2 linked regions of the Neodiprion lecontei genome follow. The protein of the gene in region 1 purifies or fractionates together with the protein of each later gene. This does not show direct contact. Links are inferred from orthologs where the notes say so. Each region holds a gene or a part of one and is shown in the gene's direction. Other genes may lie near its edges.

Region 1 (9,906 bases):
GCCTTAATTTATTGTTGAATAACATTCTTTCAACCATACCCTGAATTTATCATCTATCGTATCATCTCATCTTACGGCTTTCTTTATATATTCTTATCATCAGAACTGCCTCAAATTTCACCCAATTTAAATGTGCAGTCGGTATACATATTTTGGTCAAAGTAATAGAAATTTTTACTCAACGCTCACTGCTGTCTAGTATTCAGCACTCTTTTCACGTCATCAAGTAATACGATACTTTTATTATCCAATTGAGTGCCAGTACCGTAGTTGGTATACTCAGGCGGATGGTGAATATTGTTTTTTGAGTCTCTGAAACTCAATTTCTTTTTGCAAATATTCTTTAACAAAAGGATGGTCTAAATGGGAGTCCTTCAACTGACTCAAGTAGCGATTTACAACTTCTGGTGGCTTCCCCATATGCTGCGAAAGAACAATCATATTAATCAATGCATCTGGATTGTTGCTATCTTTGTCCAATGATTCTTGCAACGCCGATTCTGCCTCTTCATATTTTGCTTGTCCAATAAAGCATGTCGCTTGACCATTTAACAGCATGCTTGTGCTTGAATGTTTATCAATCATTTCCTGGAATCAGTGATAGAAATTAGTATGAAAGACTAAAAATCTGTTTTTCTCTGACAAATTATTGTCCAAGCTTATTGTTAGACCTTGAGACAATAAATATCAGACTACGATCAAGTTTTCCAAGTACCATAATGTGAGAATATCATCATTTCTACTTCTGATCAGCAGTTATCTGTACCTGGAATATATAATATGCATCTTGGAGTTTATCACCTCCGCTACTTATATTGAGCCAGGCTTGAGCTAATTGGGTTAAAGTAGCGTCGTCATCCTTTTCTTGCATTGCTTTAAGTTCTTTTCTTGCCAAATCGAGACGGTCCATTTTAAGATAAATTTGTAATGTAAGAGCGAGGCATTCCAGATTATCCGCATTTCGCAATATTCTTAATGCAGATTCTAAATTCTTTTCATGATAATAAATTGTCGCTGCAACAATCATGAAGTTGTGATTGTCTATATTAGCATTTTTGGCTATTTGGTCAAGTTCAGCAATGATCGCTTCACGCCTATTTGAATTGGCAAAGTATTCCGCCAGCATTTTCAGTGGCTGTAGATCTGATGGAGATGAATTATTTATTTCGTCCAGTACCACTCGGAATTTTCTTTGTGCTATGTAAACTCGGTACAGAAATACATCTCGTTCCAGAGCTATTTCTGACGTAGATGGCTATATTAAAGGATGAATAAGGGTAAAAATGTGATCACTTGTTCATCAATTTTGTTTATACGGTTGTTATTTAAATTATAATCTGATTGAGGTTATGTTAGGTTTGCGTATAAATCTCATTCGTCAGTAATACGGTACTGTAACAAAAAATAACAGGTAAAAGAATATTTAACAACGCGTTATGAAATAGTTACGAAAGTAATTACTCATTTATATGTATTTTTCATTTCAATAACTTGAGATTTCGTTCCGTAGAATTTCCAAATAGCAATCTATGAATTAGGTTAATGATTCAATGATCAACGCGTTTATTATGATTTCAGCAATACATATCATACGAAAGATTCGTTTGAGATTTAAACACAGAAATATCCCAAGCTAGGGCCAAGTGCAAAACAAATATTTGTGAAGTGTTTCAATAAAGTGTACAGGAGTCTACGTCGCCAACGGTGTAGCAGCAACTTGGCAGTTTGATAATAACACATGCAGAAGAACAGTATTGTTGAAACATTAAGAAAGATATTCTAGAAAACTGTTTATACCTTTACTTTTTGGGCTTCGTTGATACATTGTTGATAATTACCGATGTAAAAATGATTTTTAACATCGAATAATTCATCAACGTCGGCCTGCTGCTGACGTGCCATCTTTTTATACTGGCCCCTATCACACGTTACATCAATGTGTTCCAGTTTCAATCCGATTTGTAAACTAATCGTTGTTTATCGCGACCGATTCTAGCTCAAAATACGATTATACAATATATGGATTTTCTATTAATGGGATTATGCTGTGTCGTGTCGATGAAATTTTTCGAGCAAGGTATTTACCAAATTAAATGAAAATCCAACTATCGGACACTCGGCTTCCGATATATGGCCGGAGAGTCTACAGCTCTCTGGAACACGTGGGTAGAGTGCGTTTGCGCCACGTCCTGCACTGCAATGCGCATTTCAGCTTACATATGTTTTTACGGTACATAAATCGAGTCAACATGTAGTGTTAATTAACGATAGTACCGCAATTTACAATCCCGTATTCATAGATTGGAATGTCGAATTTCTTTCGATCAATGTAACTCGAAGAGCTTCGAAAAGGTTTCTGCTCTCGGTGTCAGTAGCTGTCAGTAGTACCTGTGGACCAAACATGGCGACCGATCCACGTTGTCGGTGATATTGCTTTTTTAGGTTATGGACGTTAAGCGAGATCGACGCGTTTATCTGCAATATCAAGTTATTGTTCCTTCATAAATTCGAATTTTATAACCTTGCGTTTACTAACTACGGCTAGACCGTTTAGAAGTACAAAAATGGACATCAGCGCGTTATTTAAAGCCTGTGTGAAGACTGTACGTCTTCGCAATAAAGCTTTGGGTATACCAAGCGACACAAAGTCCCCATTAAAAAAAACCACGAAGCAAACTCCGTTTTTCGGTAAAGCCAGAGACGTTTTAATGCAAATAACAAAGTTGAGAGATTTCTTGTTAGAAAATAGAAAGGCGTATTTAAATTTTGCCAATCACTTAACGAGTCTGCCGCAAATGAGCGAAGCTGAAAGAGACCAAATTGATTTAGGCGCACAGAAGATCATGACCACATGTTCTCATCTCATAAAAGATCTTGAAAGAGAATTGGCTGGATTTGATGGTGCACGTCAGGATTTGGAACACAGGGAAATTGTACTGTTATTGATTGAGAAATATTTGCGAAACGTCTGCAAGGTATATTCGGAGCAGAAAGCAATCAGAGTAAAAAGAGCTATGGAGATGAGGAAGATGGCTAGATTAGAATCAAATACAAGCAAATTGAAGCTGTCTAAATCATCGCTCAGCGTACCTGAAGTACAGGAGGAACGAGACCAGCTAAGCTCCAATGAATCGAGTCCGATGAAAATCCAGGAAATCAATGGGGATGTTAATTTATTGGCTGATGACGAGGAGCTCACTGCTGAAGATATTCAAATACTTGAATCCGAAAATGCTCAGCTGCATAACGAGTTGAATACGTTAACTGAAGAGGTAAAGCAAGTCGAGAGCAAAGTTGTACACATTGCTGAACTGCAGGAAATATTTACAGAAAAAGTATTGGATCAGGATAGAAATTTAGATAGATTAATGACAACGGTTGTTGGATCTACAGAAAATGTCAAAGAAGCCAATGAACAAATCCGTCAAGCCATTCAAAGGAATGCTGGTTTGAGAGTATGGATTTTATTTTTTCTCATTGTTATGTCATTTTCACTTTTATTCTTAGACTGGTATAACGATTGAAATAAATCTAAACTTAAGTCAAAGGATATTTACATTTTGTACTTCTAGTGTCCGATAAGATACGAAATATTGTTCAAATTGAAGAGAACGTAGCCTTGTTTCTGTATAAAATTGATCAAACTGTTCAGTCATTTCTAAACACGTCGAAGTGCAGATTTTGTCACCAAACATTATTTTCACATATTACTGGATGTGGCTGTGGTTTCGTCTTTTATAATTTTCATACACTAGTCGTGATTTATCTAATGACTATTTATAAGTTTACTGAAAATACATAATAAAATGAGATAGTCGAGTAAGACATTGATATATGTTTCGTTTTGTAGCAGTTTGTACTTTTTTATTATTCCCCTTAATTATTTTAGAATTTCATAATTTTTGGTAGTCAAACTTTACATGTTAATAGTTTGTGTAGAAAAATATGAATATTATTTTATGTAAAACTTGTGTACTACTTTGAGGAAATTATTTAGTATAAAATTCATTAATAGTAGGTACTGGTAATTCCGCATATTTGAAGTCCGCAAATTTGTGTAAAATGAATTACGGATATAAATAAGCAGAGAAAACAAATGGAAAAACATCAGAATTGCCAAAATATGTCAATATATTTCATGCTGGAAAAATTGTACATAAAACATTTGTATTTTATAATTCGTAATAGCAATAAACGAAATTATTAAAATAATATATGCGGTAGTATATTTTGATTGCAATCAAAATGACTTCATAATCAAAGTATCCACCCTATTTGTGAAAAAATGTTGTACGCAAAGGTAGGTTTTCCTTGTACCTTAAAAATCAGGTCCTATTATTCCTATTCCCGTCATTCCTTTCGTTCAATGGCTATCCTAAATATCGATATTATATTTCATTCATAATTTGATGCTCGCTTCATCTATGTAATTTCATCCCCTAGGTCAAGTTTATGAGTGAAAAAAACAAACTAGTTTTTGTTTTTAAATAAAATGACAATTGATCCAAACACTAAATTCTCCTTTTCATACTTGATTATTACACAAAAATAATCACGTGATGAATTAATCCTGCATTAATATTGGAACAATTCCTATAAATTCTTCCTCGATTGTCTGGAGTTGCCATTTGATACATTGGCACATATGTTAGTTTAGTTCATTTAATTTACGAAACTATAAATGAATCGTTGTCGTAAAATTAAAAAAATAATGAAGATATCAATTAAAATACATTTGAGTTGGTCGTAAAAAAATGTCGTAGATGAAAATAAACAGGGTAATAATAAAAATTATCGGGACATGTTAAAATTCACTCAGGGCTGCATAAAATTATAGGAATATTTAGGATGAGAATCGTATTGGAGAGATTGGCCTACAATTATGCATTGTACAATCCAAACTGTCGATACCAAAGGAATTTGCAAACTATCAGCCTTTTCAACCAGCCAAGACGGGCATCTGTTATCTGTCAGTACTGCGGTTACATGAGACAAATCGGTTTCTGTAAAAAAGAGAAATTCTTACACAACTGGGTTTGACATGCCTCTTTTATGCAAATGATTAATAGTTTATAGTGCATTAATTCCATTTTGCGACAGGTTTAGTCAAAATAAGCCTGTCAGTGTTTACTTGTTCATGTTAACAATTGTACTTTAAGAGAATATTTCTAGTTGCATTAGATTGTAGCTACCTGGGTCGTTTATTATTTGAACTACAGCACCGGCATTCTCGCAGATACTGCGCCAAAATTGAATTGTACGGTTGATCACGTTTCTGTTATCCAGTACTGGCAAGGCTATTATCATCCCATTAAATGGTTGTTTGATCAATCGATCGTACGATTCAATGTATTTCCTTTTCTCTTCACTCCAACCAGCTGGCAATTCGTATGGAGTAAGTTTGAGAGTTTTTTTCTAGGGGAGAAACATGCGATATAGTTTAATGTAAGTCTACTAACTTGGAAGTACAATTTTTCATAAACAGACCTTGTAATACTTACATCCCGACAGCACTGGATTACCCAGTTGTGACTGTAGGTTGGAATCCCAACCGAAAGGCATTGTATGCTCTTTGCCGTTAAATTTGGTACATTGGTGATAAGTTTAACCTTTTTATATTCAGATTGTGGTATTTGTTTAAAGGAATCATACACTATTCCTCCCCCGTTAACCAATTGTTTTTTCACCCTATCTTTCACAAAGGGCGTTTTAAGCCATTCCTCTTCATTTTCTGTTCCAGGATCCGAACACGAATCATCTGTATGATGACGTGAAATGACATCTGACGAGGTGGAGGTCAAAATGAAAGACATATTTTCAAATATTAACGATGATGCCGGAGGTATAGGTCCAAGTTCGGCATCGTCATGTATTTGCTTAGACTTGCCTCGCCCTCTCCCTTTCATTCTATCCGAAGGTCCCTTTGATATTGGAACTGATGGCATTGTTGGTAGTTCAGGTTCAACACCGTCCACATCATCTGTCGCTGAAATATCAGACTCGTTTGTTTTGGTTTCGCTTTCTGAAGTCAATATTGCTTGTTTATTTCCTTTAAGTTTAGGAAGACCAGAACCAGACGGAGATATGGATTTAGTTGTTTTGTTAGATCTTGGAGAAATGGCTTTCCTTGATTTGGGTGTCGACACAGTCGGAGTGGCAGCTCGCCTTGATCGTCTTTTACCATCGATTAAGTTGTCAAGACTAACTCGACCCAAGTGCTGCGGAGTTTTTGGTAGATTTTGTAAAGCCACATCCATCTCTTCCTTCAGAATTTGAGCCTGCCCTGGCATCAAGGATATGTCGTTGATTTGGACTCTAATTTTCTCCCCAGTGTCCATTTCCACTGTATAATATATCATATTTTTAACGTTCTCGGATTTCAAAATTATCCCCATTGATGCGTAGCCGTCTTCTTTGCTAGTAGCATAAACAGATAAACCTTCCCTCAATGATTCAGGCATAGGTATTACAAATTCCTCCATCACAAGTTTGCTTTTACCATCGTAAAACTTTATCCTATACTTGTCTTTAGTTTTACCTATAACTTCACCTGGGTAGTAAGTATTGTCTGACCATTTGGCAAATACGACTTTGCCTATCAATTCATCATTTGGCAAATTTTGTGGAGTTAGACTTCTCAGCGTCTCTGTTCTTGTGCTCAGGCTACTAGGAGTTGATAAACTTGTAATTTCTTTCGATAGCTTATCTGATTGAACACTGTCGTTGCTCTCACGTTTTTTGTTAACGTGCAGTCTGGCTTCTTGACTGGTAGTTACAATTTCTGGGGAGCCTTTCCTGATACCATTGCTTTTTGCAGTTCCATTAGTTGTACGTTTCCGTTTTAATAGTTTTTTAGCCTTTGTACTTTTCGGAGTTGACACTTGCGGGGGCATTTCTGTATCTTCTATTGTTTCTGGAGTAGATGATAATACTTTGTCTTCAATTTTGCCAGGTTCGTTATCAAGATGGAAGCTTTCTGGAGAATAAATGAAAGCATTTGCAGACTGCAAGAGCGCTTCTGAAATTAAGCGAGTATTCTTCCAACCATCAATAATTTTTTCTTCTGAGTGCACTTCCATTGGTGGCCTTCTAGCATGTTTCGCACGACCTTTTGGTTCAGAGAAGTTGGTGTTCTTCAGTAGTTTTGCAGCCAAAGAAGCAGCACTTGACAAGGAACTTGAGGAGCTTATCGTTGATGCAATGGAAAGCCTAGATAGGGGAAGTTGAAACAGTTGAGGATTGCTCATCACTGATCCTGGAGAATTATCTTTGTTGGCATTCCCAGATATATCAGCTAGACATCCAGACACATCACTATTTCTTCGAGCACCCGAATTTTCAAACACTGGCTCGCAATGTACATCCGTTACTTCTTTATAAATTATTTCTTTGGTAGTTTCGTCAATGTGTAACGTGTACTTCAAGTCGACATAGAATCTCGTTTTCTTTTCAATTACTGCTGTTTTGATACCCAATGATGCGTTCAATGGATTATCAGTTTTGTTATCAGATAATTTTTGTGTATTAACATTGCCAAAAAGACTATCTCCTTCACTGTCAGTAACAACATTCACCATCTCCAAGGTGTCATTTAGTTTAGGGCTGGATCGAAAACTTTGTTCTGTATTTGGGTGACTTGCGATGGACGCAGAAGTCTCACCTTTATTTAGTCCTGTCACTACATCATCAACAAATGGATCAGATTCGCTGACCAAACTGACCGTCTTTGCGTTGCTATTCATAGTTAAATCGTCATCATTTGATGTATGGCAATCTAATATTTGGCTGTCATCATTATGTTTGTGGACTTCTGTACAACCTGTGGACTTGTAGCTTGATTCACTGTTAGTTTTGCTGTCCAAGCAGCTCTTATAAATTGTTGTATTTTTAGGGCTTTCCTCGTTTGAATCATCCAAAATAATCTTTTCCCCTTCTTCATCAATTTCCACCAAGCCTAAACACCTTTTTTTCTCTTGGCTCGAAGATTTTCTGTCGTATATTACCTCAATGCTCATTCGTGACTTATTTGAACCATGAGATCCTGTATCGCAAGTAGATTCTACGTTACTGTCACTAGTTGGCAGAGGCACGTCAAAAAATTCCTTAGCCACATTGTCGGAAACATTAACTTCCTTTTCACTAAACTTTGTACTTTTGCAACTCTTTTTCTCAATCAAATCTGTACTCACAATATTTGAGCTGTCATCAGTATTGCACATTTTATCATCTTCAGTTGTCTCTTGCACATCTTTTCCATTGGTATTCATTTCTGAAGTCTCACCAGAGGCTTCTATCAACATGTTTCCATCAGGTTGTGGAACCACTTTCTCGCTGTCTGACAAAGCACTATTACTGTCGAATGAATTGGGTTTACTATTAGCTGCATCAAGTTCTGAATCACGTTTATCTGTAGAACGTGGATTCTTCTCATCAGATTCATCTGATTTAACATTTGAACTCATATTTTCCAGAGCAGTCAAATCACTTGAAATAACTGGTTCAGATTCAACTGAATCTTGTGTTTCTGCAATAACTACATTTTTATAAGTTTGAGTAGCACGTAGGTCTAATTTCTCTGCATCGTCAATATTTTCGGTATTTTCAGAAAGGATATCTAATGGTTTTTGTGTATCTTCAATAGGTACTTCATTCAAGATTAATTTTGTATCTGCATTTCCCATGTTTCTATCCAGTTTTAAGGCATCTCTTTGTGCTAGAGTTCGCTGGATTTTAGCTGCTGGTTCATCAAAAGAATCAGCCTTACGTTTCCTGGATGGAGAAGAAATTTCAGGTGGAGTACCTTGAATAATTTCTTCTTCGTCGCTCCCCTTTCTGTCATTACATTTTGAATCATGAGCATCGTTCTCCATGTTTAAACCTTGAATATCCTTTTCTTCACTCAGTTTCTTTTCGTGGATATAAATATTTTGTGTCTTATGAAAAATCTCTGGTTTTGTCGGATTATCATTAATGATTTCTGTCTTTGATAGAATAGTTTTTTGTTCTACAGAGTCTCCACCAGCTTCAGCTTCGCAAACATTTTTCACAATTTGGGACTGAGATGTTGTACTTTCATCTGAATCTTCAGCAACAACCAAAGCAAAATCTTGACTTTCATCCAACATTTGGCTTCCACTTATGTTTTGCGCTTTCTCATAATAAGTTTCTTGTGAATCCACTACGGGATTGTCATTTTCTTGATTTTCAGCCATTTTTTATTACTTGAAATTAAAAATCTGTAACAAAAAAATATGATATATACAATCAAAGGCTTTCTTGTTTCTAATTACAGTTAAAACAATTACAGTACTTACGAGTCATCGAGAAGTTATCATGTTTTCTTTTTTATGATGTATTAATAACAAAATAAAATCGTTAAACAGTTCCGATTCGTTAATTTTTTTGTGGAGATCGGCAAGCATGCAGAATTATATGATACATTATATTTGGACCAAAAATACTGATTGAGTATAAATAAATCCAATCCACTTTTCCCTAGACTTTGATGCAACTAGGATTTGGAAAATATTACAAATGCAAAATTTCATTTGAGCATGTGAGCTAAAAATATTCTAGTCGTTTACCTTTAATTCTATGTGAACTTTCTAATATTTCTATCCACATTTTATTCTGTTTTCATTGGTTCTTAAAGTTACTTTTAGAAAATGCTGTTGCAAGATATGCAGAAAACTTATTTAAATCAATTTAATCAATCAAATTAACCAATAAAAACGTAAATGAACAATGTACTGAACGGCTGGTAAAATCTATCAAAAACATTGAGTTCATATGTACATTATTCAAAAGTTAAGCAGCTGTCAGAAATTTCCGAACTATTTCATCAAAATATTAGTAATTATTGCATACCAAAAAATGTGTATATAATAATTGCTGCATGTTATGCAC
Region 2 (11,107 bases), on another chromosome or scaffold:
CTACTGTTTCCCGATCCTTCATCATCCCCTTCTTCGTAGGAATCAATTCTGGTTATTTGCCCAGCACCACCTTGGCTCTCACCCAAAGAAGCACCAACAGCTTCTTCCCGCTTGCTCAGAGAGTCGTTCGATTGATCATGTTTCGTACTTGCAGCTAAAAATTATTTACATTAAAACTCGACTGTTATTACAATTTGTACCTTTCAACTACACCACAAAATCAATATTCATGTATAAACAACCGTTCCGTCTACTACAAACATTTTTAGAATCACATTATAAAAACCAAAGCAATATTCAATGCTGAACTAACGGATTAGGGCTGCTACTTCCTGGGATCCAGTAACTACTCTTGCATCATCCCTATCGTTAGCCACTTGAATTTCTTCACTGGGCGATGCGCCACCAGGAATTTGGCGCAAGCCGCTGTCTGCCTGCTGAACAGGTTCTTCATTTTCGTTTCCTCTGCCAGGTACTTCCCTCATATCAGCTGGCTCTGACACAACTGGCTGCGATTGTAAACATTCTTCCCCAGAAGGATCATTTCGCCTAGTTTCCGATAAATTTCTTCGATTGTCTGTTACACTATCGTTTCTAGGTGGTTGAGGGGGTAATGACCTTTCTCTGCCAGAAGGATCATTTCTACGTTCAGGTAGCTCTGTATCGGTCCGTGATGGTAATGGACCATTGCGTTCTTGACCAGGTGGAACATCTCTACGCTCTGTTCTATCACTGACATTTCTTATTGATTGGACAGTGTGTTCTTGACCTGACGGATCATTTCTACGAGGATCCAAGCTTCGTGGACCGACTTGAATATTTTGCTCCTGCCCAGTAGGATCGTTTCGACGAGGATCAGAATTACTAGACTGACCAGGAACTTCCCTTAAGAATGGAATATCATTAGGAACTTCGTCATTTTCGTCATCTTGGCTAGGTGGAATGGGTTCGTGTTGTTGATGAGAATCTGTTAGTTCACCAGTTTCCAAAAACGTGTTTCTATCGTTCGATGCGAACTCGTAATTATCAGGGGCCTGCAATTAATATAAATATTACAGAGATGTATGGTCAAATTAAACCAAACTGAGAACGGTTATAAATTGTTGGTTTGGTTACGTGAAGAGTCTTACTTCAAAAATTCAATACTCGAGATTCACGAGGTTGAAGTTTGTAAAGTCGACATAAGGAAATATTTTTTAAAATTGCTGTTGTACAATTTTAGTGTTGTTACTAATGCAGTAAATCGTATATAAAGCAGAATGTAGTCATTTTTCAGTGACAAACCCTGTAAACCAGTTTTTAAGTTGTAAAATATCGTTTGTTTGGTAATGCTTCGTTACGACAACATTGTAAATTTCAACTTCATTGATATTCTAATACATGCATACTGGGCATTCATTTTTTTTTTCCTTGATACAGTGTTATCTACATTTTATTCAGAAGATATGCAATTTTGAAACTTGGGTTTTGAAACATTTACTCCCCTTACAATTAATCTTTCTTTTAAATGTTTCAGACCAAAATCCTCACATTGTGAAAGCGAGTTAGTGTAGATGCATATATACAACTTTCAACACTTTTAATCAACTAAACATTTGATACAGTTTGATTCGTGCAAAGGAAATTTACCTGTTCGACCTGAAGAGATTGTTGCGTCTGTAGTAGTGAAGGTACTTCTACGTTGTTAATATCTTCTTGAAAGTCTCTTGGAGTACTAGATTCTTTTATTTGATTGACACTCGCCTTTGGTTCATTGTCCAATGTTTCCCTATTCATGGAATCATGCGATCCATAAATATTCCGTTTCTGCAGGACAGGGGTAACAACTTCCAAGTTGCCAAACTCAGTAGACTGCTGTATGTTTTCATAATTTTCAATGTTCTGCTCATGCATCCACTTTTGTGATTTACCCTGATGATCATTGCGATACCAACTATTTTCTGATTGAGCCACAGGATTGCGCTGCGCATACCATTGATCATACCCAGCATTTTGTGGAACAGTTTCGGCAGCCCTACTGTTCTCAGGTTGATGTGTTTGAGGTAATACATGTTCTTGAGGCTCAAACTGAGATGTGGTAAGTGGATTATCCAAACTTTGTTCAGGCTCTAAAGCATGAGCTCTTTCACTTGAATCACGGTAGGGTTCTGGCTGTGCACTGGCTACACTTTCACGTGGTGAATTATCTGATGGATTTTCTGACCCTGAAATAGGTTGAGAACTCCAGCCATCTGTAGAGTGACTTGAGGAATGCATATCAGATGAAAGGGTCTGATTTTCCAATTGCCTATTAGATTTGTTAGAAAGCCGTAAATGACTAAAACTACTAGACAACTCGGCAGTGGGAATAGTATTCCATTCCGCAGTCGTCGACCAATCTGCCTCGGTGTTATTTTGAGCCATAGCATTTGAAGTTACATTAACATCACCGTCAGGCCAATTTGATTCATCCGAAATTTTTTTTTCAATTGCATTAGGTTTTGTTGGTATCGGCAAGTCATTTACAAACGAGGAACTCGGTGATAATATACCCACAGATCTCTTCCTTTCATTATTGTGATTGTTACCACTTAGAATTTGCTCCGCAGTGTTAGATGTATGAGAAACTGCAGAGCCTGTTGATGATGCAAAATGTGACGGAGGAGACTGAGCATGTTGCCAATCGTTTATACTTTTATTATTTTTTGCTGATTCAAGAGAGTCATGTTGTTGATGAGGTGCAGAAATTGAATCCTTTTCCGAAGCTACCAATTCCACAGGCCTTTGTGCAGGGGTCCAATCTTTTGGCATTACATTTTCATATTGAGGTTGCCGTGGTTGCCATTGATTTGAAGGAACATTTTGATCAGCTTGATTGAGTATTGATGGAGTGGATTGTGTGCCTACTGGTTCTTCAGCAGGAACAGGTGGCTGAAACATTGGCTGTTGCCACTGATTCATAACCGTAGTTCCCATATTCTGATGCAGAATAGGCTGTGTTGCTTCATTTGAAGTATTGCGTGAATAATTTGAGGGCCATTGATTAGTCAAATTACTCTGTTGATGTTGTTGACTGTTCCAGTTAGTATAGTATTCGGATTGTCCTGGCGAAGTATATTCCTTAGGTGGATCAAACGTTTGAGAAGTCTGTTGCCCCTGTTGAGACTGATTAATATTTTCTATGGGCTGTTGCTTGTTTGCTACCAATGATGGTTCTTGCCAGGACCCACTGACTGACGCGGCATTATGATTTTGCCAGTTACGAAGCGAAGGATCCAACTGTTGGTCGCTATTGTTCCAATTGTAGGTATTTGTTTGAGGAGGAAGTGGAGGAGTCTGTATTTTTTTGATGTTATCCAGCTGAGCACCTGAATTATTACCAAGGGACGGTAAATTTGGTGTCTGTTGACTGCTGATAGACCATTGCGAATGATCAGCAGGACTTGACTTAGAATTAGGCCTAGGTGGTAAATGATATTGTTGTTGCTGTTGCTGTTGTGGTGGCTGATTATATTCGTAAGACGTGTATTGATTATAACCATCTTTATTACTTGGTGTAGATTCTCTGCTTAGACTCGTCCGTGGAATATTACCACCAGAAGTAGGCTGTTGATTAAGTACATTGGGTCTACTATTTCTGTTAAAATTCGGATAATACATTCCCTGCTGTGGATTCTGTATACTTTGACTATTATTGGTGCGGCCAGAAGGAAATTGATGATGCTGAGAAAGCTGATGTAGAGACTCTGACTTTTGATCAGTGTTTGAATTCCACGAATCACTATTGCCATTATTACCGTTATCGGTACCCCAATCCCAGGGATCATGAGATTGCTGTTGTGGCTGGTGCTGTTGCTGCTGCTGCTGCTGCTGCTGCTGAGGTTGAATCAGAGAATTGGGCTGTTGCTGATAAACATTCGCTGGCAAAATTCCTGATCGTCTCTCAGGCTGCATAGAACTCCAAGTGTTTTGACTCTGAGATCCATACCCTGACACTGCGGCATGATCCACCCTAGCTCTAGCTGGTCTCGCACGATATGGATTCTGGAAAATAATTTAGAATTAATTTCGTTCCAGTTGTTATGTTACATTGTAGGATGGTTCAGTGCGATAAACCATGTGTTACTTACGTTCATATTACTTCTGCTCCAACACCACACTTATCGTAAGCTTGATATTTAAAACCTGAACAAAAAACAGAAGATATTGACAATAGGTGTACATAAACCACTGGTAAATTTTTGGAGTTTCTGCAGCAAATAATTAGGCCGTTAGCAAGCTAAATGAAAAATAACTGCGGCATCGTCAAATAATTTAAAATAACAGCATTTAAGGATGCACAGGTGCAAGTCTAAGCCTTCTTTTTTCGTTCATTCAAAACCACTGTATTCTTAATCACTCGATGATATTACAAAAATAATATTGCTATTCATCATGACGATCAAGAATGAGTTCATTGAATTCCAATCTTGACCAGTTGTAGTATAGTATTATTTATGAGAAATGTCAAGTGTTTTGTTGAAGAGTAAAAATGGGTGACAGGATATCCTGTCCATAATTAGCTTATCAATTTATTTAAACTAATTGGAAGAGACGTCAAGGTCCTTGGTAAAGATAAGAAAAACAACGAGTATAGACATGCGATGATACATCCCAAGAAAAGGTTCGTTTGCAGTGACAACACTTTAAACTTTGAAAGATTTATAAATCCTTCCATACATCAAACTTGTTCTTGATGAAGTTTCAAATATATGCAGAATCAAAAGAATTGAGTCTTAAAGCCGCAACTTGTGAGTGAAGAATCTGTTTCAATACTAATGTAAACGGTCGCATAATTACATAACAAGAAACACAATGTAAATTTCAATGATTTTCACACGAAGTAGCGAATGCCTGTCGGGAAATTACAGGTGATATGGACCTCGGAAGCCAGAAAATACCTTCCCAGCTGTGATATTACCAACTCGTTGTGACGATACCAAACTATCGTATTATTTTCTCAAGTCATTTACTCACCTAGTTAACGTTCTGGCAGCTAGCGCTATCACACATTGTCACGAACACCTGAGTAATAAATGAATTTACGATAAATTTAGCACATTTTCACATCCATAACATGCTAAGAAAACTGTTGTACAAACACGAGCATTTGACGGTGGAAAATCTGGGTTAAGCACGTCACAAACTTCTTCCGTTCACTGGCGTTAAGGTGGAATACCTCGGTCACAATTGTCAGGGTGTTGAGCACAATTCTCCGACAGATAGCGGTAAAAGGTGTCACGGTTCTCAACCCGCCGTATTTCCTTTGAATTAAATTTAAAAAATACCTACTTCTGACGCGAATCAGTAACTCGCGGGCTTTTTAATACCGAACCAACGATTCTACACGCAAAATTTGTCACGCCGACAATTTTATTGCGTTATTAATAGTGCCTGGTTATCCGGTATGCAAAAGACTCACCGATGAGTTGACAACCACGATTTTGGTGCGTCGAGTAAGCCGGCTGTTAAATTCACATCTTTTTTCACAAGAATATTGCATTACAAGTTTTGCGGAACTTGGATAAATCTGAGGTTTCGTAATTTATTATAACAGTTTTTAGCGCTCAATTGTCAACAATAATTCGTTATATTAACCTTCGGTAAACAATTTACAGTAAGTCAACGACGCGCATGCAGCGACTGACGTGGTAAATTCTAAATGGAGTTTTCCGATGTCGGCCACATCAGTTACCAGCGCTGTACAAATGGGCTTTTGGAGGTTCAATGAGTAGACGGACTGCTGTTTTTATCTGAATAAATCTGGATATTCCATAAATTCCAATAAAAATGGTGTTATTAACCATGATCGCGAGGTTAGCCGACGGCCTGCCGCTAGCCGCTACAATGCGGGACGATGAACAGGTTAGATTGCTGTTAAAAACGACTGTTATGATGAAATGTCACTTTCTCATTAATTTCCATATTTATTGCCAAATCGTCCTGTCTTGTTCTCAAAATTCTATCCATATAATGGCCAAGCGCTCGCCCTTTAGTGAATAAAAATTTTAATTATTGATACATTACTCTTTGTAATTATTATCAAGAATCCGTAGTTCATTCATGACTTGTTGCAATCATTTAGTTTAATACAATTTTATCACTCGTTTTTGCTCCTATTCCTAGAACAATATGCTGATCCAATTCAGTAAGCACACGTCTTTTCTCTTATTCATTTTCGCAGAGTTTCAAAGCTCTTTCTTTACTCCGTTCAACGCATTCTTACTAAATCACGTATTGTGCATTGAACCTTGATCATCTTGATTCCGTATCCAAATGTTCAAATTAATATCAATATCGTAGCAATGTTGATTATAAAAAATTTAATGTTTTACTTACAGAGTGGCAGAAGTATTCTGGAATATCAGAATCAAGCCAAAATGTTATTCAGGAAACTTGGGCCACAATCGCCATTGAGATGCACGATAGAAACTGGACCATATTTATTTCAGTAAGAACGATCATGTTATCTTACTACGTCATTTTGTTATTCTTTTTCTATTATATTTAATGTATGCATGAATTATAAAAAACAATAATACACATTGTTTAAAGCTGTAAGTTAATAATTTCAAATGTATGTGAATGTGAAGGAAGTTGAAAATTTTTTGGTTTCCTATTACAGTTACCTTATCGAAAAAGAAGCTTGTTACTTGGTATTGTGTGAACGAAATTACAGTAAACGTGTAGCTTACAGCTATCTTGAAGATATTGCACAAGAGTTTGATGCACAATATGGTAAAAAGATCAACACCGTCACTAGACCTTACAGTTTCATTGAATTTGGTAAGAGAACTTTTACTTTTAGACTTGCTTCGGTTAGTCAAAGCTCATATATTCAAGGCATGTTTTTTTCATATAAATCATTGCCTTTGCAGACACGTATATTCAAAAGGCAAAAAAGGCTTTCTCAGATAATCGGTCCAGGAGAAATATGAGCGCTCTGAACAACCAATTACACGATGTTACAAGAATCATGGTTCAAAATATCGATGATGTTCTTTCGAGAGGAGCTATGCTTTCAGGTAATTTCTATGGTTATTCTGAACATTGTCAACCGACATTTCAACACAACTCCGATTATAGGCATTGCATGCTGACTTGTAATTGTTCTGATAAATATCTTCATTTTCCAGAATTAGATACCAAAACGCAGAACTTGTCAATGTTGTCACAAAAGTACAGAAAGGATGCCACGCATTTGAACAGCAAATCAATGTACATAAAGGCAGTTGCAGGGATAGTTGCATTCCTCGTCTTCCTACTGTACTTTTTCATCCTATAATTGATGAGTATGAATTTTTATTGTGTTATTGATTTAAATGGAATCGATAAATTCTTCACCTATGAGAGGGCGTGCGTGCGAAATATTTTGACCATTGTGTATTGTGGAGAATGTCTTTTTGTTTCACATTCAGTGAAACTGAAATATTATATATTTATGTATACTGACTTCAAGCGTAAAATACGACGTTTAGTTGATATAAAGAATTTGAACGGCATGATATATGCAGAGTAGAGCCTCGATTGTGTCCATGATGAGTTTCCAGTCTTATTTCTGTATAATCGGAAGGTGTGATTTAGTTAGGCAACAAATTGTTTTTCATTTTTAATTCTCAAACAAAGCTTTGAACTTCTATGAGTAGAGATACAATAGTTTTATATTAATCTACGATTCAATCATTTAAATTTCTCAATGTATAAAAATTGAAACAAAAATCGGAAAACTGCAATGCAATAGGAATATCATAGGCATTATTGCGTACTAAGAGCTCTTTGAAAAGTTACACGAACAGATGTTTCTGTTATTATGTAATGTTACTTGCTTACAGCAAAACTACTTCTGTAAAGATCTATACTGCTACAGGTTTTCGCACGGGCGATTGAATATAGAATTCTATTCTTCATGTGATGTAACACTTTCAAAATGATTTTCATTCGATGGATATTCGTGTTTAAATATAAGCATACGTATTTTGCTTCAACTTCCGAATACACGAATCAAATTTATTTTTAATTCCATCAAAGTGAGTAAACCTAATCTGTTTTTTATGGGAATTTGACATATTATGCATAGCCAATCCCATTGAAAACTCTTAGGAAATTATGTATTATTTACGTGGTATAAAGTATTGTTGGGGAAAACATACATAAAAAATAGCTCTCATTGTTGAAAGAGACATAGGGTCTATGGAAATTGTGTAATATAGTAGCCTGTATTCATGATTAATAATATTATTATTGTATTTGTATCAAATTCGGTTACACTGTTCTAGTGAACGTTCTATTTACAATAAAAGCTTGAATTTCTACCAAATATTTGGTCATGCATGGAAATGCATAAAAGTAACTCAGATGAAGCGTTTCAATCTATTACTTCTTACCTATAATTTCACGGAAATGTTTTGCACATAATTCAACGGTTTTAATTAGAATTGATTAGTTGAAGTTATTATTTTCAGAAGCTGTGCATACTTGAATACCCCAAGTTATCTCAGCGATATGATAACCTTCTAACGATTTTATAAATTTGAGTACATTTTATTTTTTGAAACCATTTCCATACTTTCATTTTCTGAATCTGTTAGATCATTGTCAAAGAAAAAGTTTACTGGAACTCCTTCATTCTTCTTTTTAACTCTCTGATTATTTGTATGTTTTCTTTTGAGGTTTCCTCTTGTTTGTTCAGCCTCTGTTGACGCCTCTTCTTCATCTGTTGATATTCAGTGCAATGCAATATAGAGTTCAAATATGGTGGTATAAATTGTTCAAGCTACGAAATATGAAGTTGAAGCTAATAGCCAAAAGTGTTAAACTCTTTGAAAATAGTCAAATGCAGCTCAGTTTTACGCTCATAATTCTATAAAAGTATTGAGGATTCGAGGTATTTCACAAAATTTTTATTTGGACTTCACTACCTTATTCAAATGAACATTAAAACGGTTGGCTGCTAATTCTGACTGCTAGTTTCAGCCTCGTCTGCCAAATTGACACCTTTACTTTTGAATAATACCACTCACCAGTGTCTACAATCTCGTACATATCTGAATGATCTTTCAGTATCACATAGAAAACAGGAAATTCTATGATAGTTTTATTCTCCAGATTTTCGTTCAGTGTTTCAGTAAGGTTCAGCTCGTGAAATCTGATAAAAATAAATGTGTCAATTGATATTCGAAGACGATAAAGTGTCAGTCCGATAATCTTTCTATAATCAGAGCAAAACAAACCTTGAATCACATCTCTTCACTTTCTCAGCTTTTAGAAGGACTTTGATATTGCTAAAACCAGCTGCTCGGTAATACTGTAATTTTTCTCTGTACGCTATCTTCAAATTTATTACTTCGATACTCTCACTACCTTCGGTTTCTATTGTCAAAGGATCTAAAACTCTACCTAGTATCGTAGACAATCTCTCAGTTTCCAGGACACTGAAAGATTGAAGTAAACATTGCGTTCTAAATCACAAAATTAGCGTTTATCTAGAAACAATTCTGGATAATGTATTAAATTACACTTTACCGATTATCATTATGCTTCATATTCTCTGCTTGCGGAAAAATCCATTCAATCCTCCAAAACAATTCATTTGTTTTCCATTTATAATATGTTGTATTGATTTTATGTCTGCTAAAGTTTTGAGGTAAAAATTCCAATTTTGTATTCCTGTGATGGACAGCTGTCTTTAACTTATGCAAATGCTGCAATATTAAGGTAGTGGGATTAGGTACAAAATATTTTGAATCGTTGATTGTGAAATCAAATCTGTTGCAAACATGAAAGTTTCATTGGCAAAAACTGTGTTCACTGAATCTTACTCTCGACTGAAACTAAATATACATCATCAATAATTGACTTGCGTTAAACTCACCACTGGCAGATTACCTAGTCTTGTATACTTCTTGGAAGGATCTCTCTGAAATGAATCTACAGATCTACCGACCTCTTCAAGCAATCGATAATCTATCAAATAATATTAACATAAGTGTAAATGCACTGGCATCCAGTACAACTTCAGAAAAATAGTATGATGAGCGTTAATTTACTCACCGCTCAATACGTCGAGATCTGTGAATGCTTTCAGAGGTACGAATTTAGTCTTGTCGCGTATTCCATCACAATCCAATTCTTTCTTGTGTATCTTTACGCAGTCCAGACAGCATGTTCTAACCTCACATTTAGGACACGTGTACTTCGCACTCCTTCCTCCACAGACTTCGCACTCTTCCAACCTATTTACAATATTTAATTATTAGCGTTACTATTTCAGAAATGTTAAGTGTGAATTTGTTTGTCAATATGATTCCAATACATCATGAATAATTGTCGATAAAAAGATTACGGATAGCACATACTTGACGCTGCACGTCGCCATTTTAAATCACGTGGTATCCCCGGCAAGTTGACAATCAAGTGGAATCGTCAAAATCCGCGAATATCGAAGTCCGATTCTCATTTGCAAATGTGAAACGCGAATATCAAATTGATTGTCAATCGCATAAGTTGTGACTGTTGAATGATTTGTAGTGGTTGGATTCAAAATTTAGACAGAGCTATTTGTTGCATCCTCGAACAGATTTATTATCGCCAGGGAAACATTGAAAATTTCTTCAGTCAACGTATTCGGCTCTTCTTTGTTTAATCGGTGTGAACTTGGGTGATATACGTATTGTCAGACAAGAGGAAGCATAGCATTATCGCGTAATTGAGATCATTTACTAAAAGCGTGAATTTTCTAGAAGCTTCTGTAAAAAACCCAGGTGAGTATGTTTATAATTCCAGATTTCTTTAAGGATTAAACTTTATAACAAGCTCAGCTCCTGCACGTTTGGTTGTGCAACATGTTGTACAGGTGGATAAATTTTCAACTCATAACTGCGAATATTGTTTACTTTTTATTGCTGCATATTCTATTTTTGCAATGTTATATACGAAAATCATTCTTACAACAAGTGATGATCAATGAAATGATAACTTTGACTAACAATACACTAGGTGCATGTATCTGCAATTAAAAAGCCATTAAATTATTTATTTTGATTCGTGGGAAAAAATAAACCTGATTTCACCTCAGCACTATACGTGGTAA

What was found.
Region 2: the proteins of syntaxin-18 (region 1) and vesicle-trafficking protein SEC22b purify together in Homo sapiens (affinity purification with mass spectrometry; 5 studies listed by BioGRID and IntAct, counting the BioPlex papers as one, with this or other methods). This does not show direct contact. The link is inferred for Neodiprion lecontei from reciprocal best matches to the Homo sapiens genes STX18 and SEC22B.

What each region holds. Positions count from the first base shown.
Region 1 is NC_060265.1:18,619,466-18,629,371, reverse strand, and holds syntaxin-18, read left to right. Parts: upstream 1-2,179; 5' UTR 2,180-2,564; coding exon 2,565-3,524; 3' UTR 3,525-4,271; downstream 4,272-9,906. Other genes in the region: coatomer subunit epsilon, read right to left, coding at 280-588, 767-1,255, 1,798-1,902; uncharacterized protein LOC107220043, read right to left, coding at 4,816-5,003, 5,193-5,415, 5,502-9,212. UniProt on the Homo sapiens protein: Syntaxin that may be involved in targeting and fusion of Golgi-derived retrograde transport vesicles with the ER.
Region 2 is NC_060262.1:28,170,759-28,181,865, forward strand, and holds the start of vesicle-trafficking protein SEC22b, read left to right. Parts: upstream 1-5,440; 5' UTR 5,441-5,553; intron 5,554-5,636; 5' UTR 5,637-5,808; coding exon 5,809-5,883; intron 5,884-6,359; coding exon 6,360-6,469; intron 6,470-6,643; coding exon 6,644-6,804; intron 6,805-6,896; coding exon 6,897-7,043; intron 7,044-7,154; coding exon 7,155-7,303; 3' UTR 7,304-7,310; exon of another isoform or gene 7,311-8,540; coding exon of another isoform or gene 8,541-8,731; intron 8,732-9,038; coding exon of another isoform or gene 9,039-9,163; intron 9,164-9,248; coding exon of another isoform or gene 9,249-9,449; intron 9,450-9,540; coding exon of another isoform or gene 9,541-9,719; intron 9,720-9,889; coding exon of another isoform or gene 9,890-9,981; intron 9,982-10,068; coding exon of another isoform or gene 10,069-10,250; intron 10,251-10,373; coding exon of another isoform or gene 10,374-10,393; exon of another isoform or gene 10,394-10,735; intron 10,736-11,107. Other genes in the region: uncharacterized protein LOC107223481, read right to left, coding at 1-154, 314-1,034, 1,630-4,023, 4,110-4,115; box C/D snoRNA protein 1, read right to left, coding at 8,541-8,731, 9,039-9,163, 9,249-9,449, 9,541-9,719, 9,890-9,981, 10,069-10,250, 10,374-10,393. UniProt on the Homo sapiens protein: SNARE involved in targeting and fusion of ER-derived transport vesicles with the Golgi complex as well as Golgi-derived retrograde transport vesicles with the ER.